7 linked regions of the Callithrix jacchus genome follow. The protein of the gene in region 3 interacts with the protein of the main gene of each other region in a pairwise test. Links are inferred from orthologs where the notes say so. Each region holds a gene or a part of one and is shown on either strand. Other genes may lie near its edges.

What was found.
Region 1: the proteins of GRN (region 3) and ARFGAP1 interact in binary tests that used the Homo sapiens proteins (3 or more experiments, as listed by UniProt). The two-hybrid records come from large-scale screens. The link is inferred for Callithrix jacchus from reciprocal best matches to the Homo sapiens genes GRN and ARFGAP1.
Region 2: the proteins of GRN (region 3) and OTX1 interact in binary tests that used the Homo sapiens proteins (3 or more experiments, as listed by UniProt). The two-hybrid records come from large-scale screens. The link is inferred for Callithrix jacchus from reciprocal best matches to the Homo sapiens genes GRN and OTX1.
Region 4: the proteins of GRN (region 3) and NLK interact in binary tests that used the Homo sapiens proteins (3 or more experiments, as listed by UniProt). The two-hybrid records come from large-scale screens. The link is inferred for Callithrix jacchus from reciprocal best matches to the Homo sapiens genes GRN and NLK.
Region 5: the proteins of GRN (region 3) and FAM131C interact in binary tests that used the Homo sapiens proteins (3 or more experiments, as listed by UniProt). The link is inferred for Callithrix jacchus from reciprocal best matches to the Homo sapiens genes GRN and FAM131C.
Region 6: the proteins of GRN (region 3) and SGTA interact in binary tests that used the Homo sapiens proteins (3 or more experiments, as listed by UniProt). The two-hybrid records come from large-scale screens. The link is inferred for Callithrix jacchus from reciprocal best matches to the Homo sapiens genes GRN and SGTA.
Region 7: the proteins of GRN (region 3) and FAM76B interact in binary tests that used the Homo sapiens proteins (3 or more experiments, as listed by UniProt). The link is inferred for Callithrix jacchus from reciprocal best matches to the Homo sapiens genes GRN and FAM76B.

What each region holds. Positions count from the first base shown.
Region 1 is NC_133506.1:58,775,906-58,779,496, forward strand, and holds the end of ARFGAP1 (ADP-ribosylation factor GTPase-activating protein 1), read left to right. Parts: intron 1-135; coding exon 136-212; intron 213-1,216; coding exon 1,217-1,526; 3' UTR 1,527-3,369; downstream 3,370-3,591. UniProt on the Homo sapiens protein: GTPase-activating protein (GAP) for the ADP ribosylation factor 1 (ARF1). Involved in membrane trafficking and /or vesicle transport.
Region 2 is NC_133515.1:51,066,327-51,070,540, forward strand, and holds the start of OTX1 (homeobox protein OTX1), read right to left. Parts: upstream 2,857-4,214; 5' UTR 2,789-2,856; intron 2,439-2,788; 5' UTR 2,370-2,438; intron 810-2,369; 5' UTR 699-809; coding exon 602-698; intron 1-601. UniProt on the Homo sapiens protein: Probably plays a role in the development of the brain and the sense organs. Can bind to the BCD target sequence (BTS): 5'-TCTAATCCC-3'.
Region 3 is NC_133506.1:71,185,902-71,190,182, forward strand, and holds the start of GRN (progranulin), read left to right. Parts: upstream 1-1,479; 5' UTR 1,480-1,512; intron 1,513-1,755; 5' UTR 1,756-1,795; intron 1,796-4,281. UniProt on the Homo sapiens protein: Secreted protein that acts as a key regulator of lysosomal function and as a growth factor involved in inflammation, wound healing and cell proliferation. Regulates protein trafficking to lysosomes, and also the activity of lysosomal enzymes.
Region 4 is NC_133506.1:105,342,329-105,345,897, forward strand, and holds part of NLK (serine/threonine-protein kinase NLK), read right to left. Parts: intron 2,368-3,569; coding exon 2,169-2,367; intron 1,297-2,168; coding exon 1,203-1,296; intron 1-1,202. UniProt on the Homo sapiens protein: Serine/threonine-protein kinase that regulates a number of transcription factors with key roles in cell fate determination. Positive effector of the non-canonical Wnt signaling pathway, acting downstream of WNT5A, MAP3K7/TAK1 and HIPK2.
Region 5 is NC_133508.1:53,398,260-53,402,466, reverse strand, and holds the start of FAM131C (protein FAM131C), read left to right. Parts: upstream 1-1,352; 5' UTR 1,353-1,591; coding exon 1,592-1,613; intron 1,614-1,736; exon of another isoform or gene 1,737-2,748; intron 2,749-4,207.
Region 6 is NC_133523.1:2,600,061-2,603,849, reverse strand, and holds the end of SGTA (small glutamine-rich tetratricopeptide repeat-containing protein alpha), read left to right. Parts: coding exon 1-11; intron 12-192; coding exon 193-307; 3' UTR 308-312; intron 313-991; exon of another isoform or gene 992-1,393; coding exon of another isoform or gene 1,394-1,406; intron 1,407-1,896; coding exon of another isoform or gene 1,897-2,795; 3' UTR 2,796-3,278; downstream 3,279-3,789. Other genes in the region: uncharacterized protein LOC118150284, read right to left, coding at 1,394-1,406, 1,897-2,795. UniProt on the Homo sapiens protein: Co-chaperone that binds misfolded and hydrophobic patches-containing client proteins in the cytosol. Mediates their targeting to the endoplasmic reticulum but also regulates their sorting to the proteasome when targeting fails.
Region 7 is NC_133511.1:44,463,786-44,467,376, forward strand, and holds part of FAM76B (protein FAM76B), read left to right. Parts: intron 1-107; coding exon 108-188; intron 189-838; coding exon 839-974; intron 975-3,591. UniProt on the Homo sapiens protein: Negatively regulates the NF-kappa-B-mediated inflammatory pathway by preventing the translocation of HNRNPA2B1 from the nucleus to the cytoplasm.

The sequences.
Region 1 (3,591 bases), about 12 Mb from region 3:
TCTGTCTGTATGAGTGCACCAGGCACCCCTTGCTTCTGGATTTTACCTGGGCCTTCTCAGCCAGTCGGTGTGCACTGGCTTGCGTGCCTCTGCCGTGATGGGGCCTTCCTAACCTCTCTTCCCATCTCCTTCCAGGTCCAGGGAGTCAGCAGTAAGGGATGGCGGGATGTCACCACCTTTTTTTCAGGGAAAGCAGAAGGCCCCTTGGACAGGTACACCATGTCCCCATCCCCCGAGCCTGTGTCCCACCCCCTCTCTTGATGGTGGTCGGCTTCCTTGCTGGGCAGTGTGGGGGCGGGGGGCATCGTGGAAAGCTCTTCTAGTGCTCTGCCGCTTCGGGGGCCTGTCTCACCTGTCCCTGCCCTGGCTGTGTGCTTTTTGGAGCAGGAGCTGGGCACCTCAGGCTGGGGTGGGAGGGAGAGTCTTACTCACTGATCAGAGGAGGAGTCGGCGCTGCTCTGCCATTCCTCTGTCTCCCAGACTCTGGGTGGGTGGAGCAGATAGGGGACCAGGGGACAGTAGGGCTGGGACCCCCAAGACCTGTCCTGGGCCCCGGGCTGGGACCCCCAAGACCTGTCCTGGGCCCCGTGTCCAGCTCTGCCCTTGGCACTGGGTGCCCCAGGCATTCCTGCTAGAAGCTGGCTGCTCTTCTCAGTCCCTGACCCCAACAGGAACCACAGGGCTCTCATAGGGCCTGGCCCTGTGCTGTCCACTGAGACGCCAGCCCTTGTGAACACGTATGCTCTGCCCCCAGATGGGCCCAAACTTTCCCTACAGTTGCTACGTCCTTTCCCTCTCTGTGTGTGTATAGGGTTTCAGTGGTATGACTACAACTGAGGGCAGAGGGCAGGGCCTGGTCCAGAGCCGACATGCGGCGGGGGCATCTCTCGGGAGAGCCTGAGTCCCCACGAGGCCAGTGCCCCTCCCCCTCCCCCCTTAACTAAACCACTGATGACATAGCAGGTTAGAGCTGGTAGAAAAAGAAATTTTCTGTAAAAGAGTGGGCCCTGGTTCTCCAGGTCCCTGGCACAGTTTCCTCTGCTCTAAAATGGGAGAACCAGCTCCTGCCTGGCAGGGCTGCTGTGGACCCCGAATGCTGGCCTGGGAAGGCGCCACAGGGCCTGGTGGTCACTGTAGGTGCAGAGCTGTTGGGGGCACGGAATTCTGAGTGGTGGGCTGAGTGACATTCACAGTCCCCCTTCTGTCTCTTTAAAAGCCCCTCTGAGGGCCACAGTTACCAGAACAGCGGTCCAGACCACTTCCAGAACAGCTCCATAGACCAGAGCTTCTGGGAGACCTTCGGGAGCACTGAGTCTGCCAAGGCCCGGAAGTCCCCGAGCAGCGACAGCTGGACCTGCGCGGACACCTCCACGGAGAGGAGGAGCTCCGACAGCTGGGAGGTGTGGGGCTCAGCCTCCACCAACAGGAACAGCAACAGTGATGGTGGGGAGGGTGGGGAGGGCGCCAAGAAGGCGGTGCCGCCGGCTGTGCCTGCCGACGATGGCTGGGACAACCAGAACTGGTAGGGCCACCGCAGCCCCGTCCCCAGCGCTCTGGGTGACTTCGTGTTTGCACTCTGCCCTCGTTCTCCTTCCCTTTGACCCAAGAAGCAGTGACCGCAGTGTGAGGACAGCATCTTGGGAGGCAGGACTCTGGGGAGACGGGTTCGTGCCACCTGTCCACCGTGGGGTCTCGGTGCGTGGGACGGCTTGCTCTCCATCCCCTGCGGGGGGCTGTCCCATCCCACACTCCTTGGGCATTCTTGGACTCCAGCAGGGGCCCGGTGTGGCTTACTGGGAGGTGGGCTGCGGCACGGACCCTCACAACTGTGTTCCGGTGGCTGGTTTGACACATTTTCTCCAGGGTCAGGGACCAGTCACGTGCCATGCTGTCAGCGATGAAAGGAGCCGAGTCTCGTGGAGATGTTTAACTCTGGGTTTGCTCTAGTTCTTTCTTTGAAGAAAGTGACTGCAGTGGTAAAGACGGCAATGCTGAAGGAGACACTGGCGCTCACACTGCCACTGACCACCCTTGCTCCTGTGTCCACGCCTGCCTGGGCCCATGTCGTTACCCCGAGTGGCTTCCCTGCATCGGCCTCGTCCAGCCGCCACATTCACTGGACACACCTCCCAACGGCCATGCCTGAGCTGTTCTCAGTGCTGAAACTTGACTATTCTGGAATGCCCTGTTAAGACAAAGGAGTGCGGGGGGCCGGGTGGGCCCTCAGCCCCGGTGCAGTGGGGTGCGACAGTAGGAGGGGCTGAGCTAGAGTCACCTGTGTGCAGTGCCTGGGTCTGGAGAAGGTCCAGCTTCTCGTCAGCCCCCAGCATGCAGCTGTGCTCATGTCCCTCTGACACCCCCCTCTGGCTTCTCTGTCATTTGAGTCTGGTTGGCTGCCTGGAGCCTGGCTGGCTTGAACCTGTTGGATGGGGCTGCCCTGCAGCCTGGTGCCCACCCCATGCTGACCTTCCCCAAGTACTGGATGACATGCCGCTGCATGTGACTCAGTCTCTCTCATCTGCTGTGTGTGACCCTCTGTCTTGGCCAGCTGTGCATGTGCTGGAAGCTCGTGCAGTGTGTGAGGTGCTCTCCCCTGCCGCCATGCTCCTCACTATGGCCTCAGCCATGCTCCCTGATCACCCCACTTTCCAGCCGCCATCCGCAGCGCTCCTGGAGCAGCCTGGCCCTTTAGCCCTGCGCACGTCCCACCTCAGGGAGTCGGCCACCTGCAGAACAGGATGGGTCCTAGATTTCAGGGAGCCCTCCTGGCACCCGCTCCTCCCTGTGGGCACCAACCCCCTTGGTAGCCAACCTGGAGGGCCTGTGCCTTTGGCTGCCACAGACTTGGTCACCAAAGCAGCCACCTGCTATAGTTGGACCTGGGGTCAGAGGCTTGGGGTGCTGAGAGGCCTCAGGGCAAAGTGGCCAACACAGAGGTCACAGGAAGTCAGTCTTGGAGAGCGGAGCATGAGGTCTTGGAATGTCTTTCCTGAGCTGAGACTTGGGTGGCCTTGCGATTTTCCCCAAGGGCTGCTTGGATCCTGGTGGGCTGAGTGCTCTGAGGAGGGGTGCATTCCATCCTGGAACCCAAACTCTATCCCCCCACCCCCTGGGAAGGTGCCTTGCTTGGGGGCAGGGTGACAGTCCCTTCTAATGGAAAGTGCTGTCAGTGTTGGGAGGGGTTGGGGCCACCTTCGGAACGGGATGTGGTGGCCAAGACACCTCCACAGAGGGTGAGGGCCTTTCCCTTCTGCAGGTGTGGGCAGGTGTCCCAGGACCTGTGGGCGCTGGGGCCTCGCCTGGCTGTGTGAGGGCCCATGTGGAAGGCACAGACTTGACAGCTTTCCAATAAAGCACATGGGAGCACGAGGAATGTCTGGGTGCATCCCAAGGGGCCACTTTCAGTGTGGTGTTAGTAGGGTCATGGGATCCCCAGGGAGCGGCGGTGGAGCACTGGGCTCCCTCATTTCTCCTGGTCCCTTGCTGCACCCAGCCTTCCTGGGGAGTCCTTGGCTTCACCCCATCTGAGCCAGACCTGGCAAGTAGGCAGTTGGGTGACCCAGCCAGAGAAGTGGTCATGGGCCTTTGGCT
Region 2 (4,214 bases), on a different chromosome or scaffold from region 3:
GGGAGTGAGAAAGATGTAGGCACCTTTCATGTAGGAAAGATGAAAAACACTTTCAGAGAAAATAAATGGTGTAAACGAGTGGGAGCTAAAAAAGAAACCGGGGTTTGACTCAAGTCGTCCTCTACAGCAGTGCAAAAATGGGTGCAGGACATTGATTTAGAGGACAATTTAATTCGAGAGAAAGAATCTTCCTTTTTCAGTCCACCTGCCGTTTCACATAAGGAAAGTTTGGCTCCTTCGGTCAGGGCCTAACGAGTGTCCAGATTACTCATTCCATGTTGGGAGAAAAGGAAAATCATCAGCCGCCCCTTACTAGCAAATCCGCGGGTAAATGCGCTCTGCGCTGGCGATGGGACCACAACAGGAGAAAGGTTGTCGGTGACCCGGCCGGGAAGGCGCACGTTGGGCGTTTTCTCAGCCCTGGCCACCTCATGCGCCCACGAGTCTGCTCAGTGCGCCGACAGTGGGCCCTGTACTGTAAACAGATTAGGCAATCGGCTCCCTGGGCCTGCTCGGCAACAAAGCTTACACTCAAACCCAACAGTCTGAGGGTCCCCAACATTTGAGAGTCTTGGGCAGGGGCCGGAAGGCCGGTGCTCACCCGGATAGCCCACGGAGGGGTGCAGAAGGTCCATGGCAGGCCCGGCCAGGCCCAGCCCATTCATGCCGTATGGGGGTTGTTTGAGGTAAGACATCATGCTAACAGCTGGGTGGAGGCGCCCCGACAGATCCAGGGGGCCCGGGGCCAGGAGCGGTGCAGGGCTCCCACTGCGCAGTCCTTCAGGCTCTGATGCGTCTGGGGGCCTGGCCTATGGAGACACGATACACACGGAAACCATCAGTCGGAGGCACTTGGCTTTCAAGTCTTGTCCGGGGATAGACAGGGAAGGCAGGTTACAGAACTCCGCAGGGTGGTCAACTAGCCTCCACAAGGACTTAGCCCAGAAACCACAGTTGCTTTGAAAAGTAAAGTTTTCTAGGTCCTCTAGCTCTAGGCTCGGAATGGGCCAAAGATACTGGTAGGGAGTCCATAGAGTAAGAAGTTAAAAGCAGGGCCAGGCTGGGAGGTAGAGCTGGAAACACAGAATGTACAACCTCCCAAGTCCAGGCAAAATTCTGAGTCCGGCAGAAGCCGGCTTCATGTTGCACAAACAAAAGTTCACTTGGTGCCCGGGGCAGGGCGCCCAGAGCATGCAGGGTTGTTTCGTTTTGTTTCAGTGTTTTTGAAAAGGTAGAGACTATGAAGGGCCAAGGTGAGGCAATGTGGAGGACTAACTGCACCTCAACCTCTTATGCACCTAGACACTTGGTTTCTTCTAACGCGTCCAGGGCTGCGTCCCTGCCCCAGAGCCCACAATAACCATTCCAGCTAACTTCTCTATGCCCAACCACTGAAAAATCGCTGACGCGGAATCACACCACACTTCAACCGCAGCAACGGGCCCAGGCCGCAGAGGGCCAGAGGACGCTGAAGGGAACACTGTAGAGGGGGCGATCCCAAGACGCGGCCTGAGGTCAGGAGCGCCTCAGCTGCGGCCATCGCCCTTCGTTGCCAGCGCGCACCCGTCCTTCTCTCTGCCCAGTCTGGGCTTCTGACCACATGGTCCCAGCAGGGGGTGAAGGCTGGGGCCCAGCACCTTAAAGGGTCTCTGAGATTTGCGAAGCCAGAGGGCAGCAAGTTGCATGCTGCCATCCTAGTAGCTGAACCCGAGGCCCCAGGACACTGTTGAGAACAGAGAACTAGGCCTCAGCGGCAGAGCCCACGCAGACCCGAGCTGGGAGGTCGAAGCCTTGCCCCCGCTGCTGCCGAGAACCCAGGCGCCACTCTCAAGGGTCAGGGAGGGGCACTGGAAAGTGGGCCTGGGGTTCTAGGGGGCCGTCGCTACACCCCGCTTTGCGGGATCGCTGTGAAGCAGGCCAGGGACTCGGGTTAGGACGTTTAGGGAGAGAAGTTGGAGTTAAAGAAGCTCCCCCCAGCCCCGTTCCTGCCCCCGTCCTCTCGGACCCAAGGCCAGAGGAGGAGTCCAGCTTGTAGGGAGGGAACGAGAAGGGAAGCAGCCAGGGCTCTTAGGCCAAAGGAAAATGGGACTCAAAGCTGCGACGGCTCTGCGAGGCTGCAGCCTGAGTTTTCAAAGACTTTCTCCAAACTTAGCACTTCAGCTCGGTTACTTCGGAGGAGGCGGGGGAGGGGGCGGCGGGCCGCGACAGCGCCCCGGGGTCCTCCGCGCACCCAGAGGGGAGTCAGGCCGCTCCCCCAGCCCCGCCCACCTGCTGGGGCTCCGGGAAGCGAGGATCCATTTGAGGAGGGGGAGGTAAGGGTAACCAACGCGCTCCCGGAGTCCCGGGTGGCCCCGCGGCTTTCTCCTTACCTGCCCTCAGCTGCCGGGGCCGTTCACCATCTACCTGGATCCCTCACAGAGACCCGCCGGGCAGCCAACCTGCAAAACAGAGCGGCACAGGAATTACCCCGGCGGCTGGTCTAGGACCCCCGGTTTCTTTCTTTTCTCAACTTCTTTCCTCCCACGTCTATCTTTTTTTCCAGTGGCTTTGTGCGTGTCCCTAAGGGTTTCACTTTATTGCACAGACACTTTGTTTGCTAAGCCCCACGCGTTCTCAGGACATTGCCTGACCGGGAATCGCGCCGAGGGGCCGCAAGGGGGGTAATTCGAGTGGCAGAGTTGGGAGGTGGCTCGGCGTTGCCGCGGCACTCCCGATACAACGTGGAGGCAGTGGGGACTGGGAAGTCCTGCACAGTCACTTTGCAAACTAAATAAATCAAGCGATTTACCTTGTCGGAGTGGCTTGTCTTGCTCGGTTGTTTAGGTGATTGGAAATGTAGCCTGATGAAGATTGATCACCTTTCTACTGCCCTCCCCGGGTATGTGAACGCGAGGCGAGTGCGTAACGGGGCTAGGCCGCCAATCGGGGGCCCCGCGCGGGCTGAGTGACAGGGAGCCGGGCAATGGCAGCGCGAGCCGGGGGTTACCTCCGCGCGCCCCCGCCCTCCCCCGCCCCCCACTCCCCGCCTTCCCCGCCCGCCCGCCCGCCCCGCCCCGGTCGCGCGCTAACTCGGCTGGCAAAAGCGGCGCAGAGCTAGCCGAGGAAGGCGAGCGGAGAGCCGGAGTCCTGGCCGCTGAGGGGACCGCGGGTCCCCAAGCCTGCCCTGGGCCCCCCGGCCCTTCTCTCGCGCTTTAGGCGCTCTGGAGGGAGTGGCTCGGAGAGCGCGAGGTGCTGGAGAACCGGTTCCTTCGCTCTCCGAGGCACTACCAGGCTCTGCCGCCCGGATGTGGGCGCCAGGACTCGGGGGCGGCGGACTAGAAGAGCCCGGGCGTCTGCCCCTCTCCCGGCGCCGCGGGCCCCAACGTTTCCTTCCTCTGCGCCGCCACCTGAGACCGACGCCGCGGGCGGCTCGTGCCAGCACAGGCTACTTTGCAGAGCGCGGGAGCAGCTCCGGGCGCGCAGATCTCTCTTCGGCGCCTCGGGACTCCCGCGCCTGAGAAGAGCACCCACTGGAAGGGCGCCGCCACTTACCTGCTCGTCGGCCTCTCCCGGGGTTCCCAGTCCCCACCAAGGGTGTTTACAAGTCTTAAGCGCTTCTTCTGAAACATTGGAACCCAGCGTCCTCTTCCCCTCACACACACACCCTATTTCTTAATTCAAACATTTTGCTAGGAAACTTTCTTTTTCACACTCTGTCTTTCCTAGTCTCCCTCTAACAGGGACTTTTAGATGAAAAATGTGGCCACAGACCCCTGCCCTCAACTTTTTTTCCACATGCTGCGTAAGGAGCCTCCTTGAGGCGATTTCCCCGGATTGTTCGTATATGTGAAGCCCATTTCCTAGCCGAACAAACTTCCCAAACGCGTCTACCTGGGTGGACTTTTCAAAGTGCAAAAAAAGTGTTTTCGTCCCAACTCCGAGTAAGGCGAATCTTTTAAATGGCACCTCCTCCTGAAAATTAGGCACTTTATTACCTTTCGAGGAATTTCTACCCCTTGTTTCTAATCTCCTACTCCCTCACCCCGACAGGAGTAGTAAAAAGTTTGCAAAGGAGTAAGTGTGAAGGCGAGTCAAGGAGCCTCCAGGCGCATCGCAGTGGGGAGCACCCGCGCAGCCCGGGCCGCGGGGTCGGGCGCCGAGAGCAGACCGGGCGCTGGGCGAGAAGGAGGAGAAGGAAAGGGGAGCCCGCTGAGTGAAAAGGGGCCGCGGCCGCC
Region 3 (4,281 bases):
GCTCAAGGAGATGATCCTGAAGTGGAATTAAATCTCTCTTCTCCCGGCCCGGCGCGGTGGCTCACGCTTGTAATCCCAGCACTTTGGGAGGCCGAGGCTGGTGGATCATGAGGTCAGAAGTTCGAGTCCAGCATGGCCAACACAGTGAAACCCTTGTCTCTACTAAATATCAATCAATCAAGCAAGCAAGCTGGGCGTGGTGCCAGGCGCCTGTAATCCCAGCTACTTGGGAGCCTGAGGCAGGAGAATAGCTTGCCGGGAAGCGGAGGTTGCAGTTAGCAGAGATCGCGCCACTGCACTCCAGCCTGGGCTACAGAGCTAGACTCTGTCTCAAAAAAGAAAGAAAGAAAACAACAACAAAACCGCTTTTTCCCCACTTGAAGCCAATCTACTCCGTACACCTGGCACCTGCGCACAATCTTTTATCTTAAATTAGATCCAATGCCAGGCGCTGTGGCTCACGCCTGTAATCCCAGCACTTTGGGAGGCCGAGGCGGGTAGATCACAAGGTCAAGAGATCGAGACCATCCTGGTCAACATAGTGAAACCCCGTCTCTACTAAAAATACAAAAAATTAGCTGGGCACGGTGGTGAGTGCCTGTAATCCCAGCTACTCAGGAGGCCAAGGCAGGAGAATTGCCTGAACCCAGGAGGCAGAGGTTGCGGTGAGCCAAGATCGCGCCATTGTACTCCAGCCTGGGTAACAAGAGCGAAACTCCGTCTCAAAAATAAATAAATAAGATCCAGCTTGAGCCTGTCTCCTACCAACCCCTGCCCCCCGCTCCCGCCCCGCTGACTCCTTGAGGAAAGGGCTTGGGGCTGCTTATCTTTGTCTTCAAATCCATCCTTCAACTCCGTCTGGGGCCTGCCTAGCATGTCATCCGAGTTTGCAGAATAGGGCAGGACGGGACAGGGCAGGGCAGGGCAGGATAGAATGGGAGCGAAGGAGCCAGCCCGGTAGCTCACGCCTGTAATCCCAGCGCCTTGAGGGGCTGCAGTGGGAAGATCGCTTTGGGATCAGGAGTTGCAGGCTGTAGTAAGCTATGATCAGCTAGGGCAACCATCACTCTAAAAAATAGAAAGGGGAAATTAAAAAAAAAAAAAAGAAAAGAAAAATAAAAAGGAGAGCACAAATATTCCCAATGCCCCACACACGCTATCATCTCTAGCAAACTCCCCCAGGCGCCTGCAGGATGGGTGTGGGAAGGCAGCAAGGAGAGCACCGGCTGCCCTGTTGAGGCTGGCCCGGCGTCACATGATTCCCCAATCACATGATCCCTAGAAATGGGGTGTGGGGCGAAAGGAAGCCGGGAGGTGAGTGATTTGAGTAGAAAAAAAACACAGCATCCCAGGCTGGCCCCGCCTCTACGTCGATAAGTAGCCAATGGAAGCGTCGTATCCCGGACCTCTGGCCAATGGAAACTGAGGTGGGCGGGTCATCGCGCTGGGGTTTGTAGTCCGTGAGCTGCTTGACTGGCTGCTGCTACCCAGGGACCGCGGACCCGAACGCAGGTAGGAGGGCGGCCGCGCAGACCTCTCCTACCCAGGGGCCTGGCCAGGGCCATGTGCGCTTGGGGTTACCCTGGAGTATCAGCCGGAGACGACAGAATACCCGCTTATTGAAACTCCTTTGGGCGTTCCTATACACTGGAAGGAGTTATATGGGGGAGAGGAAGCAGTAATTGCAGTGACCCCCGTTAGAAGGGGGCTCTCCCTCCCCAGCATTCCGGGAAGCTGAAGTCCTTTCCCCCAAAGCAGGGACCACGCCATTCTTGCGCCAGATCTACCGCTATCGGTAGGTGCCGGCGTCTTCCCCTCTCGCGGTGGTGCTGGGTGGTCCCCGCGGCAGCCTGGAGCCAGAGGGGCGCGCGACCCTGGGCTGGGAGCTCCAAGGGCCTGGGAATCGGACCTGAGACTTTGGCTTCTCGAAGGTAGTAGGGACTTGGGAGTGGTGACAGAACCTGGTCTGGCTCCTCCTTACTTCCTCTTGTAGGGGGTGGGACGAGCTAACTTCCGCCTCTCCCAGCCACCTTTTCCTGCTCATTTGCAGCGAGGTTGGCTCCCCTTTTGGGAATTTCCTCTCCGCTTGGCACTCGGAGTCGGGGAGTGCCACCTAGTGGAAGATAACAGAGCTAGGGCTTGAAGAGGCTGCTGTCCTTTCTGGCTGTTTTGGTGGTGTAGGGTGGCGATGAGAGGGTGTGTTTGGCTCTCCTCCTCATCCCTGCTTCTGTATGCCCGTGCATGTATTGAGTAGAAACGTACAGTATACTCCTTCAACTCAGTGTAAACAGGAGGGGGCACATGCACAGGTAACTCACCAGGGAGCCGAACAGTCCTGTGCAGACAGGCTCCCCTTCCCAGCAAGCCAGGGCAGCAGACAGCCTGCTGAGAACACCCAGGAAGCATGTGGTGCCAGCTGCAGGTGCTTTGCCCAGGAGCTGTGAGGCTGAGGAGAGGGTCCACTGTCCAGTACCAGTCAACTTCACCCTTATCTGGCCAGGAGGTGGCCTCTTGGGGATGTTGACTTAGGGGAGGGGCACTTGAGGAAAGCCAGGTGGAGCAGAGGGTGTGAGTGACTGGGTGGGGAGATTTCCTGCCACTCCCCCACAGTGGTGTCCACACAGAGACTCCTGGGGGAACTGAGGCACAGACAGGGAGCAACTTCTCAGGCCATCACAGTTGGCAATTCTAGGATTAGGACCCAAGTGCGATTTCCAGGCAGTCCCTGTACCGTTTTTGTCCTACCTGATGCATCTATCCCCCTGGGGCTTAGGGTCCATTTCCAGGCACTGTCCATCGTGCCGCTAGTAATATGAACCCAGGTCCAATATGTTCTGGGCCCATCAAAGCCTGTTGTCACAATGACCTGATGTGTGACGTGTTATAGGTGTCCCTTCATGGAACTGGGTTCAGGACCCCAAAATCTGCAGATGCTCAAGTCCCTTATATAAAACGGTGTGGTAGCTGGATGCGGTGGCTCATGCCTGTAATCCCAGCACTTTGGGAGGTTGAGGCAGGCAGATCACCGGGTCAAGAGATCAGGACCATCCTGGCTAACATGGTGAAACCACATCTCTACTAAAAATACAAAAATTAGCTGGATATGGTGTCATGTGCCTATAGTCCTAGCTACTCAGGAGGCTGAGGCAGGAGAATCACTTGAACCCAGGAGGCAGAGGTTGCAGTGAGCCGAGATCATGCCATTGCACTCCAGCATGGGCGACAGAGCAAAACTTCGTCTCAAAAAAAAAATGAGCAGGTGTGGTGGCACGCACCTGAAGTCGCAGCTACTTGGGAGGCTGAGGTGGGAGGATTGCTTGATCCCAAGAGTTTGAGTCCAGCCTGGGTAACATAGCAATACCTCATCTCTAAAATAAAAGTAAAGATGTTAATTACTACTTTGGATGGTGGTTGCACAGAAATAAAATATGAAGTGTCTTGTAACTGGCTTAGAAGCCAGTTACAAGACTGTTTTCACTCCTTCAGGCTGTGTAACCTCTCTGGCCACCCCCCTGAGCTAGCTGGGCTAGCTGAGCCTGGGAGAAGAGTTGTTTAGGAAGTGAGAGGCTGCTCCCCACAGAGACTCAAGGCTCAGTTCCTCCTGGTGACTCAGATGGGCAGCCCAGTGGTCACACGTGGTCTCTCTCCACATGTGGCTGAGTTTCACTTCCAGAATAGAGGGAGAGGCAGGGATGGGGATTAGCATGCTTGGGGAATCTCAGAGGGCCCTAGAGGTGTGGGGGACCCTCAGAACACAGGTGTCTCAAAGGCTGACTCAGCCTGTGTCCCTTTCCCTTGGCGAGGAGGGGACATTAATGGCAGGTGGTGACTGGCCTCTGGGGAGGGCAGCCCAGACTCTGCTAGCCACCATACTTCCTTTTTCACAACCTTCTCACCCCTGTGGTTTCTCATGTCCTCATGTGGCTGCTTCCCGCAAGCCTTACTGGGGTACAGGTATGAACATGATGTCAGGCAAGGAGGCATCTGGAGGGGAACCCTGGTTTTTTGGGGGGGGACTCCCTCTCTGCCCTCCAGCCCTGTCCTCTCCCATGGCTACTGATGCCTTCCCCTCACCTCAGAGATATCCCACATCTGCACAGATCAGACCCCCAAAAATCACATCTTCCTGACTTGTAAGCCTGCCCAGCGAGGCCCAGCTGTTAGACCATGCGTTGGGGATTCAGACGCACAGGTATACACATGTCAGCATTCATGCTCACAGGTCCGCACGCGCTGAGGCGTGTGTCACACACAGGGCGCTGTAGTCAGCCGACTTAGCCC
Region 4 (3,569 bases), about 34 Mb from region 3:
TTTTTTTTGTCATGTGGAAGGTTCAGCTTTGGTCCACCCAGACTCTCCTGGCAGGCTTCTTTGATGGACCACTTCTGCCCACACCTTCTGGCACACTTCCTCTTCTGCACACCACCCTTGTGCTGTGTTCCTGTTCCTGTGGCAGCCATACCCTCTCCAAAGACGTCCTTACATAGAGGAACTACTTCTAAATTCTTAAATTTCTTTGTTTACTTTCCCTCTGTCAAAAAATTGCCAAAGCAACCTCAGTCTACAGGGAGTAGCTGCTTTCTGCATTTGCTACTTCAACAGTCTTCAGAATCCTTTTATGCCTTTTATCAGTTGATCATCTTTCCCAGTTAACAATTGTTGTTACTAAATTATCCCCATTCATATTATAGGGAAGTGGTTTATTTCTCCTGACTGGACCCTGACTGATATATAAAGACTTAAACAAAAAGAGATCAAGAGAAGGAAAGGACAGAGAGACAAGGAGAATAAAGCCTGGTAAGTTCTAAAGTAGGTTCACAGCTCTACCATAAGCTTGTTGGCTTCTCTTCTACACAGGATACACCAGCAGTCCACCAGCATACAAAAAAATTATTTTCTCACTTGCAGTTATTACTGGGGAGTGGGAATGGTAGTGGGAACTGAGATGACCACATTAACTCCAGGAAATCGCCACGTACATGATGATGCAGCACAATGATCATCTGGCAAAAATACTGCCAAAGCAACCACAGTGAACTGGCACCAGTGTAAAATGTGATGCTTACAGTTTTTGTGAGATGGAGTTTTGCTCTGACTGTCCTGGCTGGAGTGCAATGGCGTGATCTCGGCTCACTGAAACCTCCACCTCCCAGGTTCAAGCGATTCTCCTGTCTCAGCCTCCCGAGTAGCTGGGATTACAAGTGCATGCCTCCATATCTGGCTAATTTTTGTATTTTTAGTAGAGACGGGGTTTCATCATATTGGTCAGGCTGGTCTTGAACTCCTGACCTCAGGTGATCCACCTGCCTTGACCTCCCAAAGTGCTGGGATTATAGGTGTAAGCCATTGTGCCTGGCCTGCTTAGTTTTAATACAGTCAAGCCTCATAACAGAAACTTTCTGTTGTACCTTTTACCTATGTTATCTAAATAAAAACAAATATGCTGAATAATCAAATAACACTGGCATCCTTTAATTCTAACAAGAATATTAGAATTACATAGATATATTTACCTAATAAAGCTCTTAAAAGCAGCAGACTGAGGGTTGATGCAGAGAGGCACTCTGTTTCCTTTCTGCTGTTCCAAAATGAACTGGTGAATAATTTCTGTGGAGAAAGCAAGCATCATACAATCCATGACAATTTGCAGGCCCAGGAGCAGTGAATTCTCAGCTGACTCTAGCCAGCATCTGAATAGCATTTCCTACTGGTTTAGTTAAATCAAAAAACACATCATCTATCAAGCAGAATTCAGCTGAACTTCCTAAAACGAAAACGACAGCTGTTGCTAAATGTAGGCAAAAAACCCACTGGTGGCATTACAGACTGCAGCCCCATCAGTAGGAAGAGTAAAATGGTCTATAAATTTGAGAGAGACTCCAAGGTCTGGCATTATAGATGAACTCTTCTAAGTTGCTGCCTTTTGGAAAATCAGTTGGTATCTAGGTGTACAGTTTCAGGTGGTTACTTGGGGACTCCCCTCTCTTGTAAAATGTCCTAGAGTAGACACTAAAATCACTCAGAATTTTGGATGTCATTACCCCCACTGTATCCTAATAGGAGACCCTGCAACAAAATTTTATGAGTACACTATCAGAAATTCCCTTCTCTTGTCATCAGCCAAGGAATGATTCCCTCAGTGAATTTTTATATTTAATGGAACTTTGTATGTTATATAAAGAAGATCAATACGTTTCAATCAATGAAATGACATTGAGTGAATACATATAAAATGTATTGAGTCATACTCACTAAATAAACTGAAATAAGAACAAACTATTCATTCCTCTCCCTAACCTTCCCCTGTGTTTAATATTAAATATGAATTGTTATGCCCTGGACACATAGCTATATACAGGGTTGTAAAATAAACATACAGGGGAGCTTTGGTTACCAACCACATCTCAGCTCTTCATGGCCACCTGATGGAAAATGTTACTTGGCATCTTGCCTGGCCCAAGGCCAAACCAGATACTCACCTTTAACCTGTCGGACAGAACTGAGGTTCTTCTCAAAAGTGTCATCAAATTTGGGATTGGTGACAGGCTCAAAGTCACTGGTATAAACTCTTCCAGTAGAGGTGGAAAAGCAACATTTACACATACATGTGTGATATCGTAGTCGCCCTTCATCTAGGTAGGGGTGGGCTAAGGCATCCTTAGCGGATATTCTTTTGGACTGAAATCAAATTAGAGACCAGCACATCAACACTACAGATAAATATGACTGTCCACATAGGATCTTTCAAAAGACATATTAACTGCTTTACACGGCTTATATATAATTTATAGTACATTCCATCCAAAGAGGGATAACTGAATTTAGAGGTGGGTAACATAGCAGCATAGGGAGTGTATAATTTAGGACAACTACTGTTACCATCTACCATCATAAAGCACTTAGAAGTGCCTTTCTGTTGAAATTCTGAGAAGTTCCTACCCTGAAACAGATGTATGCAGGGTCAAAAATCACAAATACCACGACATTTAACTATGTAGTGCTTCGAATGGGATTACATTTATATTTTAAATAACAGGCTGTATTTTCTAAATATGTGTCAGTATCTAGAAGATATGTTCATAGTGGCAGTCTTACAAAGCTTCTTGACATTTTTATTCTCTTAGAATACCAAACAGACTAAGGCAAAAGCTGCTGGAGTTAGGCAGCAGATAGCGGTCTGACTGCCATGTTTTGAGATACAGCTCAGTCTGAATATCAGGAGTCTAGCATTTTATTTTCTGGTACTTTATTTTTTTTAATTTTTTTTGTAGAGATGGGTTCTCCCTATGTTCTTGAATTTCTGGCCCTCAGCCTTGGCCTCCCAAAGTGCTGGGACTGCAGGTATGAGCTACCGTGCCCAATCATTTTCTGTCACTTTAGATCAGAATACTTAATATATTAGTTTTAAGTTACCTGAAAATCTAAACTTTTAAACTTATTACTCCATTAAAAAATTAATGTGCCTTCTTTTAGCTCAGTAGGCTAATGTGTACTACTGAGACAAAGTAAATTTTAAAGGATTTAAGGATGAACTCAATAGTACAGAGTAGAACAAAAATGAGAACTAACACTTTGCTCTGATTCCAATATGACCAAGCACTTCACATTACACAATTTAAAGAAGAAACCCACTTTCATTTTCAAATAAACCAAAAACAACGGAATCATCCTAATTGTTCTGGTCCCCAAATAATAAAAAAATGTTTTCCATAAACCTGGATTCCCTACAAACACTTTTATCTCTGATTTTTGCTATGCTGATCTAAAAGGGCATGTCATGACCTTTCATGATAGGATAATCTCAGAAGAAAGCGGGTGTTTTATTTACCATGAACCGGCAAATGTATACTTGATAACCTTGGCTTGTTTTCCTTTCAATG
Region 5 (4,207 bases), on a different chromosome or scaffold from region 3:
ATCCCCACCCCATGCTGCTGCCTCAACCCTTATTCATTATTATCATTATTATTATTATTATTTTGAGACAGAGTCTTGCTCTGTCACCCACGCTGGAAAGCAGTGGCATAGTTTCGGCTCACTGCAACCTCCGCCTCCCAAGTTCAAGTGATTCTCCTGCATAGACCTCCCAAGGACCTGGGATTACAGGCATGCACCACCACGCTCAGCTAATTGTTTATATTTTTGGTAGAGACGGGGTTTCACCATGTTGGCCAGGCTGGTCTTGAACTCCTGACCTCAAGTGATCCACCTGCCTCAGGCTCCCAAAGTGCTGGGATTACAGGCATGAGCCACCACGCTGGCCCCTCCTTATTCATTCTTCAAAACCCCTCTCTGCCAAAACCAGTGAACCTGGCTGCCTCACCTGGAAAACAGACACAAGAGTGGCTGTCCTGCCTGGTGCACAGGTGAGCGTGAAGGAGTGAGATACCATGTGTGAGTGAGGGTCTCAGACACTGGCACTGGGAAGTTTTGCTAAAGGATCTTCAGACCTCAGGAACTGGGATGTGTGTGTGTGTAAATGCAAGCATACATAAATGTGAGTGGATAACTCTGTCATTGTGTGGGTGTCAGTGGGGGTATGTACACGCGGGAGAGTGTGTGTGTATTCACGTGTGTGTGTTTGTGTATATAATGCAAGTGTGTGTGTATATGTGTGTGTGTGTATGACCACCAGTGTGTGAATGAGGGGGATGTACACATGGGAGAGTGTGTGTATAGGTACGTGTGTGTCAATGTGAATGACTACAGAGGTCGTCCAGTGCTGGGGAAAAAACCCGTGCCTCAGTTTACTCTGCCCTAGACAAGCCCTGAGAGGCAGCCTTGCCCCCATCTTCAACCATCGCGTTGGAGATCCCAGGCCACCAGCGCACCATCCCCACTCTCTACCCCAACTTTGGGCATGTATTATTTTGCATATGTTAATTTCAACAGCTCTGAATGAGGTGTTGACAGTCAAAAGTCGCTAAATTCATAGCTTAGGGCTCACAGGCAGGGCCTCTAACTTCTGCAAGCCTCACTTTCGCCCTCTGCAAAATGGGCCTAATGGAACTGTTGTTCTTGTGCGCACCCCTCCCCAACCCCCAAGCCCTCGTGCCCAGTTGTCGCTGTTGCGGTTAAATTCATCTTGTTTACTTTGTGCCCCAAATGTCAGGAGTCTCCCCGCCCCCTCCGTCTCCTTCCCTGACCTTCAGCCCTTCAGGGAGGTGCCGGAGACCCGAAGGGACAGAGGTGGTCCTCCCGCACTCCGCGGCCACAGGTGTGCCCAGGTCTCCCGGCTGCGCTTCCCCTGGCCCCGCCCGCCGCGCCCCGCGGTTTCGCCCTTCCCTGGCGGCGGCAGGCGCGGGGCGGGAGGCGGCGGCGCGAGGCGAGCCCGGCGCGGCGGCCGCGGGGACAACCCGGGCGGGAGCGGAGGCCGAGCCGAGGGCGCCCGAGCCCCCTCCCCGCGCGTCCTCTGGCTGCGCAGCGCTTAGCCCCGGGCCCGCGGAGACATGAGCGCCCCGCGGCCCCACGCACCCCGGGGACAGCGGCCCGGCCACGCGGCCCCGTGATGGGCTCCTGCGTGTCGCGAGGTGAGGGGGCCCGGCCGGTGGTGGGGGATCGGGTGCCAGGGACCCGCGCGGTCCTCTCGCCGCTCGGAGACCTGGGGGATGGAGCTGGCGACCCGCCCTTCGCGGCCCGGCCGCACCCTCGGGGACACGGCGTCCTGAGGGGGACAGGGCTGGAGACCGTAGGAGGCGGGGGCAATACAGCGCGCGTGCAGAGGTCACCGCATCGGTGACCCGGGTTCGGTTCGCAGCCCTGCAGGTGACACGAAGCAGGGTCCCGCGCCGCGCTCTCAGCCCTACAGCCACACACCCCCTGCCGGGTGCCTGGGAGGGGAGGGAGGCTCCGGTTCTTCCTGGCTTACTGGAGGAACTGTGGGGCACCCGGAGAACTAGCAGACCCTTCTTCTCCCACCCCTCCCCAAGACACAGGCCTTACCAGCTAACCCCCTCCACCCCTCCCCACACCTTACCGGGTACCCCCATCTGCAGAGCCCCGGAGCCCTGTTGGCAGGAAAGGGTTAATGGTGGGGCACAGGTTATCTAGAAGGTTCCCCTGCCCCAACCTTTATCCCTAATCCTCCTCCCCACCCCCATTCTTGGTCTGGGGACCGAAGGGCCAGAGCTCAGCTAATGTTCCCGGTTACCCCTGGGCCTTTCTGTGTCTGACCTGCCACCCTGCACTCTCCCCCAGATGATACCCAGGGAGGTGGAGGGTCCTGCCCTTGCTTGGGGTCACAGGGCAGGCCCCGGCCCCTTCTGTCTGTGAGGAGGGGATGCAGAGTCTTGCACAGAGATTGGGGGATGGGCAGGTTGGTCTTTGGAACCCCCTTCCTCCACCCCAAGCACCACCACCAACTTTCCAACAGACCTCTGGGCAGCATTTTAGACAGCGATTGGGCTAAGCCCTTCCCCAACCTTGGTCCATTCACCCCACAGTGGGATCAGGGGGTGTGGCTGGGAGTCGGGGTGGCTTTGGCCTTGGTTCAGGCCCTGTAGGCTGAGGCCAAACCCATGGATCACCACCACACCTGTTACCCCTAGTAGCTTATCGGGAATAGAGGGGACCTTGTCCTGGGGGTGTTGAGCAAGGAGCACAACGCCCTTCCCCCATCCTCTGGACTCTAAGGGCTTCTGCTTGGGAGTTTCTGTGAGCGTTCAGGTAAGTGGCTCAGGATGTCTCTGGGAGATGTCAGGAGTGGGATCATGGGTGAGGAATGGGAAGGTACAAGGTCACTGTAACTTCCCTGCCTTTCATGGCCCGGCCGCACCCCTGGGCAGGCAGTGTCCTGAGGGAGACAGGGCTAGGGACGGCCGGGGGGCGCGGGGGGCAGGGGGGGGGCAGCACAGAGATCAAGCATGCAGAGGTCAGTCACCGCAGGCATCCCTGCCCCAATTTGCAGCCCGGAAGGCAACAGGGTCCCATGCTGTGCTCTCATCCCTGCAGCCACACACCCCCTGCTGGGAGTATAAGGACTATATGAGGTTCCTTTACTTATCCATGCATTAGGCTGATATTAACATGATGCCCACCATGTGCCAGGCAGTGTGTGCACGCTGGACATCCAGCAGCGAGGAACCCAGCCCAGCACCTGGTCCAGGAGGCCCCAGCCTAGCGGGTGGGGAAGGGAGTTTGAAGAGTAAGGAGTGCTGGGGGTTCTTTAGGCCCTCAAGAGTCTGAGGGTGTCTCCAGAAACCCCAAAGGTTCTAGGCAGTCTCTGGCTGAGACCAGCTCCAGATTGAGGGAATCTGAGTGTTTCTTCAGTGGTCACATCCCTTCCCCTTCATTTGGCCACCCCATGCCAGGTGCCTTGGGGTCCCAGCCCAGGTGGACTGGCCTGTGAGCTGAGGACCCACTGAGCACGGGGCAGAGGCCAGGGAGGAAGAGATACCTGCTAAGGTCACCCTGAGAGGCTGGGGCCCAGGTCCTCTGACCCCACACCTGGGGTTCCTTCCACCGGCCCCTCTTCCAGGGTTCTTTGGGGCCACAGCAGGCAAGGTACGCTCCTTCCACCCTTCCTCTGCAGCCTGGGCTTCCCCAGTGTCCCCCAGATCTGACTCGATGGTCCAGCTTTGTCCCACTCCTGAGAGGACCAGGCCCCTGACAGTCTCGACATGCACCCAGGAGATTTGGGTAGAGGTGAAAGGAGTATGGGGAGCCACGTGGGCAGAGGACAGCCAGGGTCCCAGAGACTGGGTGGCTGCACCACTGACTGCCCCCGCCCAGCTTTCTCCTTGTCACTGATGCTCTCCGAAGCATACTAATCTGAAAGTTTTAAGCAGCTAAAGCTATTTGAGTTATATATGAGCACAGTCTCCATCTTACAAGTGGAAAACTGAGGCAGAGGGCAGTGGAGTAACTTGACCAGGGTCACACAGCTAGGAAGGTATAAACCAAGATTAAAACCATGGTGCTCTGACTCCACAGCCTGGGGCCTCGGTCTCTGCACTCGAAGCCAGCCCTCGGCCCTGTTGCCTGCACCTGTCTACTCTCCTGCAGCTGCAGGCTGCCGTGGGCTCCTGAGCTCCCACCTGGCCCCAGCACCAGCAACTGATTGCTAATCGTAGCCTCTGAGCACTGAGTGCCTGCTGGGCCAGGTGGGCACTGCTATAGAAGGAAG
Region 6 (3,789 bases), on a different chromosome or scaffold from region 3:
CTCATCCAGGCGTGAGTGGACCTGCTTCAAGGAGGGCGTGGGTGGCGTCCCCCTGCTCCGGAGGGCCTGGCATCCTCTGGCGAGCAGTCAGACCTGTCTGTGGGGTGGAGGGGTCAAGGGGTCAGGTGGCGACGGACGGAGGCAGTGGCAGGCTCCTGGCCCTGGCTGAGCCCCGTGCGCCCTTCCTCACAGCGGTCAGCAGTTTGCCCAGCAGATGCAGCAGCAGAACCCGGAGCTGATAGAGCAGCTCAGGAGCCAGATCCGGAGTCGGACGCCCAGCGCCAGCAACGACGAACAGCAGGAGTGACGCCGGTGAGTGCAGGGCCCAGGATGGGGAGCGGCCAGCAGGAGTGACACCGAGGGAGTGCCCCGAGGGGAGGGCAGCCAGCAGGAGTGCTGCCCGGGGACTGTAGAGCCCCCCTGGGCACTCGACAGTGAGTCCTGAGCACGTCCGGCTCAGAAGCTTGCCCTGAACCGCTGAGGCAGGTGGGGGCATCTCTGGGCATTGGACTCCTTTCCAGGTGGCCGCCACCTCCTTCTCCCCCGTCCTGTTTCCCATCTGTGGATCGGGGCTGGGTGGAGATGAGGGGGAAGCCACGGCTTCCTGGGAGGGCTGGTGTCTAGGGGTCTGGGCCCCCCACTGGAAGGGCTGGTGTCTGGCGTCCCCCCCGCGGAAGCTTTTTGTTTCTGCAGCGTCAGAGCTGCCACCTGGGGGATGGAACCAGGTTTTTGGGTGGTGGAAAGGACAATCCGGGCACCTGCCTTTGACTGCACGTCTGAGCGTTCTGCCTACGTTTTTTGAGCCACCGCGCCCGGCCCTTGTGAGGGATATTTTTGTCCCTTTCTCACTGTGAGCAGCCATTGCGCTTAGCGTTGTTTAAAAATGGCCAGGCACAGTGGCTCACGCCTGTAATCCCAGCACTTTGGGAGGCCGAGGCGGGTGGATCACGAGGTCAAGAGATCGAGACCATCCTGGTCAACATGGTGAAACCCCGTCTCTGCTAAAAATACAAAAAATTAGCTGGGCACGGTGGCGCGTGCCTGTAATCCCAGCTACTCGGGAGGCTGAGGCAGGAGAATTGCCTGAACCCAGGAGGCTGAGGTTGCGGTGAGCCGAGATCGCGCCATTGCACTCCAGCCTGGGTAACAAGAGCAAAACTTCGTCTCAAAAAAAAAAAAAAATGCACTTGGAGTCCCCCGTGGGTTCCAGGGGCCCGTGGCTGGCTTGGTTTCCATCCCGGGGTTCCGTGTCCGTCCTGTCCGTCCGCAGCAGATGCCGACTCCTGGGCCGAGTAGCTCCAGGCCTCCCGAGGTGTGTCCATTCTGCTCCAACGTGGCCTCTTCATCCCGTCACCGTTGCTGGGGGCGTCCCTTGTGTACACATTCTCATTTTTTAACCAGAATTACTGTAGATAAATTTAAAGGACAAACGTGAAAAAGCAGCAAGAACAACCTTAATCTTTTTTGTTACTTTGAGACTATCCTGCTCTGTCACCGCGACTGGAGGGCAGTGGTACGATCACGTCTCACTGCAGCCTCAACCTCCTGGGCTCAAGTGGTCCTCCCACCTCAGCCTCCCTGTAGCTGGAACTACAGGGACACAGCACTGCACCCGGCTGAGTTTTGTCTTTACTGTACAGGCGGGATCTCACTACACTGCCCAGGCTGGTGGTCTCAACTCCTGGGCTCAAGCCATCCTCCCACCCCAGCCTCCCAAAGTGCCGGGATGACAAGTGTGAGCCCCGTGTTCAGCCCAACCTCAGTCTTTTCACCCAGGGCAACTGACGTTCATATTGCGGCCACCTTTTCTTCCAGTCTTTTCTTGTTTAAAATAAGTTTTCATTTATTTATTTTTTTAATAGTCGAGGTGGATTTTTCACCAACATAACCTCATACCCAAAGTCCCGCCACACTGCAGACCCTTCTAGATCACGGCGGCGTTCTCTGCGCCACCGGGCACACGTGGCCCTGAGTGTCCGGAATGCTGCCGGCGTGGCTGTGGCTCTGACGTCCGTTGAGAGAGCTGGCGTGGTCCCTGGCTGAGGGCCTCTCCTCCTGCCTAGAGTGTGTGGTGCGGCCGGGGTCTCCACCTGTGCTCTGACCGCCGTCACATCTGTCCCCCTCCAGCCATTCCTCGTGTGACCGCGTCCTTCCCTGGCTGACTGGAAGCTTCCGGGTGTTTGCTGTCTCCTGTTGGACTGCCTGAGAGAGGGGAAGAGAGAGACCTCGGACCTGCATGTCAAGATGGATTTTCCCTTTGATCTCTGCCTCCTCCACTCCCTTTTTGTAACTCCCTTGTAGCCCCCAGACCTTTCTTGAAACAAGAGCCAGCAAGCTGAGCACAGCCCAGCAGCGACCTCCCTCCCAGGCCCCAGACAGCCCATCACTTGAGTATTTTCTAGAATCCTGGGGTGCTCCCGGCCCCTCAGTGAAGCGGCAGCTTCCACGTTCAGCCGCGTGGCGGATCCTGTGGCTTCCGGAGCCTTTTTACAGCCCCCGCCCCCTCCCGTGCTGAGAAGCTGCTCCCGGCCTCCCGGGCCCCGTGCCTGCTCGGAAGAGCTCACTGCCAGCTGCGGCCCGGACGCTGCGCCGCGTGTCTGCATGAGGACCTCTTCCCTGGCAGACATCCAGGGGGCAGCTGCAGTCACCCCACGCCTCCGCGGCCAGGAGCCGTCCTGGGTGCATAGGACCAGTTTCTGTGACTTTCTCCAGTCCTGCGTGTCGGGAGACATGCGTTCCCCGCCACCCACCCTCATTTTCCGGTCCTCGAGACTGAGAGCCACGAGTGTCATCATGACTGGTCCGGCTGCCTTAGCCGCGGGCACGGGGAAGGCAGCTGGGCCATTTCTGTCTGTGTCCCATCCTGCTGTCCTTCCGTCCTGGGTGTTTCATAGGCCCAGGGCCCGCCGGAAAGCTCACCCCTCCAGTTCCAGGTTGAGGCCATGGAGCACCTCTGGTGCCACTCACCTTGGCCCTAAAACAGCCACCAGGAGAGCAGCCGAGAGCTAGACATTGGGGGGCCTGCCTCAGCTCCTGGGGCCTGGGGGTGGCAGGTGAGCCCACGGCGCTGTGGTCCCAGCAGCAGGGCTGGCAGTCGGAGCATCCTGGGAATCCCTGGGTCTTGGCCGTCTGCGAGGTAGGCGCAATACCATGTGTCGTAGGTAACAGTAGGAACGGGGCCCCCAGGGCCCTGCAGCCCCTCATGGCGGTGAGGTGTGTGCCGAGCCCATCTGGGTGCAGGGCGTGATGTGTAGGGAATAAATAGGCGTTGTGACCTCTGTCCGTCTCCATGTTGACCTTGGTGCCACCTATCCCCCACAACCCCAGACTTCGAGAAAACCCCTGAAGCGGACTTTGCAAATCAGCTGGGCTGGTTGTGAGTGAATCCCCTCGATGCCTGGAGCCGCACTTCCTGGGTCACCGGTCCCAGGAGGTTCCAGACTGCCATCCTCTACTCTCCCCTCGGCCTCGCCCCCAGCTGCATCACGGTGCAGAGGGTCCCTCCTGGCTCAGGTGAGATGCGTCGGCCCTCAGCAGAGAGTGACCCTGTTGCTGGTTGCTTTTGCAGCATGTCACAACTCCAGAAATTCTGTATTCTGTAACCAAAGTCACCTCCCTTTTACAGCGGTTCTCCCAGGCAGGAAGGAGCCCAGAAAGCTAGCCTGTCTCGGCCCCAACCCGAGGCCGCTGCACAGGGTTTTTGTGGACGGAGAAAGTGCTCCCTGGGCTGGGTGCAGTGGCTCAGGCCTGTAATCCCAGCTCTTTGGGAGGCTGAGGCGGGCAGACCAC
Region 7 (3,591 bases), on a different chromosome or scaffold from region 3:
GCCTTACAAAAATAGTATTTTCAGTAATATTTTAGGGGAAGATGAATAACTTATCATTTGGTTCCTCTGTCCTTTTTACTCTAACTATTCTTATTGTTTGGTTTCAGCCATAAATCCTCTGCAGCAATTCAGAATGAAACTCCAAAGAAAAAGCCCAAATTGGAATCTAAGCCATCTAATGGAGATAGGTAAAAATGAATTATTTTAGTGTTGTGAAAATTCAGTTTAGTTGCATAGTTATGGTTGATTGCCAGTTATTACTAGATAAAAAACTAGAAACAGGTATTTTCTACATTGACTTGAGTCACCTAGAAGAGTAAACATAAATCAGTTTAAAATTTTTAACTTAATTTTGGCAATAAGAAAGTGGCACTGAACTATGTTGTTCTATTTGGGAAATAAATTTGGGTTTTGAAAAAAAAATCAAATCTGAATGGAGAACATTATTTTTATCTTTATTCTTCAATGAAACACAAATCTAATTGTGATATTTTAAATTGACCTGCTTAGAAAATGTTTTTAGATTAAAAATATGAGCGTGACTTTGTTTTAGTTCATTAGCCAAAAGTTTGCTGATGTTACTGTACAAATTGGCTGCCTATTGCTTTACACTAGAAGTATTGACCCCCTAAAAGCTAATACTGAATTATATTTCTGCAGGTGTATGTAATGTGTGCCATTAGTAAGGTAATTTGCCAGTTGCATCCATTTCTGTCAGGTACATATTTTTTTGCATTAGCCTTAAGGATGTTTGTGGAATTGTCTAATTTATGCAATTTGAACACCTGCTAATTTTCCTTCTCCTTCATTTAACTGTGTTTTACTTTTTTCTTTTTAGTAGCTCTATAAATCAGTCAGCAGATAGTGGGGGAACAGACAATTTTGTCCTTATAAGTCAACTGAAAGAAGAAGTGATGTCACTTAAGCGTCTCTTACAGCAGAGAGACCAGACCATTTTAGAAAAAGATAAAAAGGTAAGAACATCGTTCATTGAAGCCTGATAAGAATTATGTCTTGACTGTTGGTTGCTTAATAATCACAAATTTTATTAGTCTTTTTAAATAATTTGGTAATGTTTGTTATGCATGATTTTTATAAGACAAATTACAAAAGCCCTCCCACCCCCCAAGCCATCTCATGAAGATAGGTAAAAAAATGGTCTTTCAGAATTTTAACTGTAAGAATTAACTGAGAGCTTAATTAGGATATAATTTCTAAACTTTAATTTTCAGTAAACATGTCATTTAAAAATAGGTCTACTAATACTTTAAAAATGAGATATAAATGGAATATTTTGTAAACTTTTGTGATTTAAGAAAGTAGTTTAAACATAATATTTGATATTCCAATCTAAAAGGTCATTCTGTAGGAAGTAAGTGTATATATCAGTTAAATCAAGAGGAATATCAAATGTGTTATCCATTTAGCAAAAACAGGAATATTAACAGAATTATAGACAGATTTAAGGTCTTGTACTATGAAATCAGGATGGCATAATAGTGGTCAGGCATGGAACAGTAAACAGTTTTGAAGTTATTTAGCCATACTTAGATTCAAATCCCAGTTCTAAGATTTTCTCTGTAACCAGGAGCAGAACGTATACTTCTTTGGGCCTCAGTTTTCTCATTTAAATGAGAGCATAATACTATTTCAAGTGACGGCTGTGATGATTAAGGAAAATACATTTATTTACTGTAGCTCTTGGCATGTGAAAGCGCTCATAGGGGTTATTACTGATGCTTGATCATCTTTATACTTGTTTATGGTCCCAGACAGTGTAGTTTGACCTGTATCAAATTTATTATGCATTAGAACACTAAAATCATTTCTTTTTAAAAGAATAAGACCTTATTATGGATACATATATGAATCATATTCATCTCTGAGTACCTATAGTAACAGACTTGAATCAGCTGGCTTTTACTTCTGGCATTCAATAACTTTTGTTACATCTTCTGACACCTTGATGGTTAGTGGACTTAATTTTTAATACATTTACACCTTGCTTTAAGCAAATTCAGTATATGAAACTTAGGAGTGACATACAAGATAAAAGTAGGATGGTTATGGGTGTCTTTGTCTTATGGTTCTTTTTAATTGACAACATTTTTTAAATTAATGAGCTTTTATGGAAATTTGTTCTATGTACAAAGTTTTAGAGACAAGCCAGGTATATCTGCATTAACCTTGAGAAAAGTTAAATAAAATGCCAAGTTTACTGCAAAATTGCAATGATTTTTAAACCAAATAGTAATCAGTTATAGAATATTGACTGTTAGATTTTTCTTTCCTATCTAGCAGAAGAGGTATTATACTAGATTTTTCTTTCCTCTCTAGCATAAAATGTATTATCTTTGTTTGTACAGTTGAAGTTTTCTGCTTTTGTTAGTATTACTCTTTAAAAAAACCAAAATACTAATGGGGATTGAAATTAGTATTGTTGTAAGAAAAATTCTAATGGTAAACCTTAAATAGCTACACATTTGCAGCTTTTTCTTATAAATCTAAGACAACCAAGTTATTTTCCTGAATTGATTTTACAGAGTTATTTAGTGACTTCTAGAGCCAGACACTGAACTAGTTCATAAGGATGCAAAGATGAATAATTAAAACATAATTCTTATCTTCCAGAAGTTCATAGTTGGGGGCAACTCACAGTATAGTGAATAGAGTAATTGTCTTAGCTGATCTGGTGTGAATTGGCATTTCAGAACAGAAAATCTTTTGTGAATATAGAAAGTTGAGAGAGAGAACTTAGTTATACTTTGAATTTGACAAAAGCAAGGGCTTTTTTTGTGTGTGTGGAAAAATAAGTATATAAGACTCCATGATTTTCTGTTTTTGCTGTTGTGTGTCTTTCAGTTTATTAGCTACTGGGTAATTACAAAAGAATGTGTAAACCTTTAAAGCTGACATAATGAAAAATGTTAAAAAAATAACTTGCAGCTGCTTCTGCATGGTTCTAATAGTGAAATTACATAATAATTCATTCTTTGGTTTGAAGTCATGAGATGTTATGCTTTTTATGTATGTCATTTATGTTTATGAAAAATTATGTAGCCTTTCTCAGAGCACTGATGTTTTTCTTACATTAGCCCAAATTTTATAGTAACCCTCTTTCCTTTCTCATTCGTTGTAGTTATATTTCTTTGCTTTGTTTTCTGTTTTTACCTCGTGTTAGGTGGTTATGTACATAATCCTGGACATAAATTTAAAAATAAAAACAGTGTAGCTTTTGGCTGAGAAGACCATCCCTTTTTATATTGCCCAGTGTGAAATTTCTTTCTTTAAGCATTGAAAGATTATTTTACCCTTAAACTAGTTTTAATGTTTGTTTATACTGTTATAAATGTTATTGAAGTACCTTTTTGAATGAGACATTTTCCAAGTTATTAGCCGTTAAGCTTTTTTTGTTGGCATACCAGTTGCCAAACTCTATTCCCAGTCAAGCTACATTTAGAAAAAAAAGAAAACTCAAAAATTTTACTGATGGTCGGGTATTAGCATAAAAATCACACTATTGTAAAGCAGGTAGATTTCATCAATTCACAAAACAAATTTTAGGTTGTACAATTCAGGAAACTGCAAAGA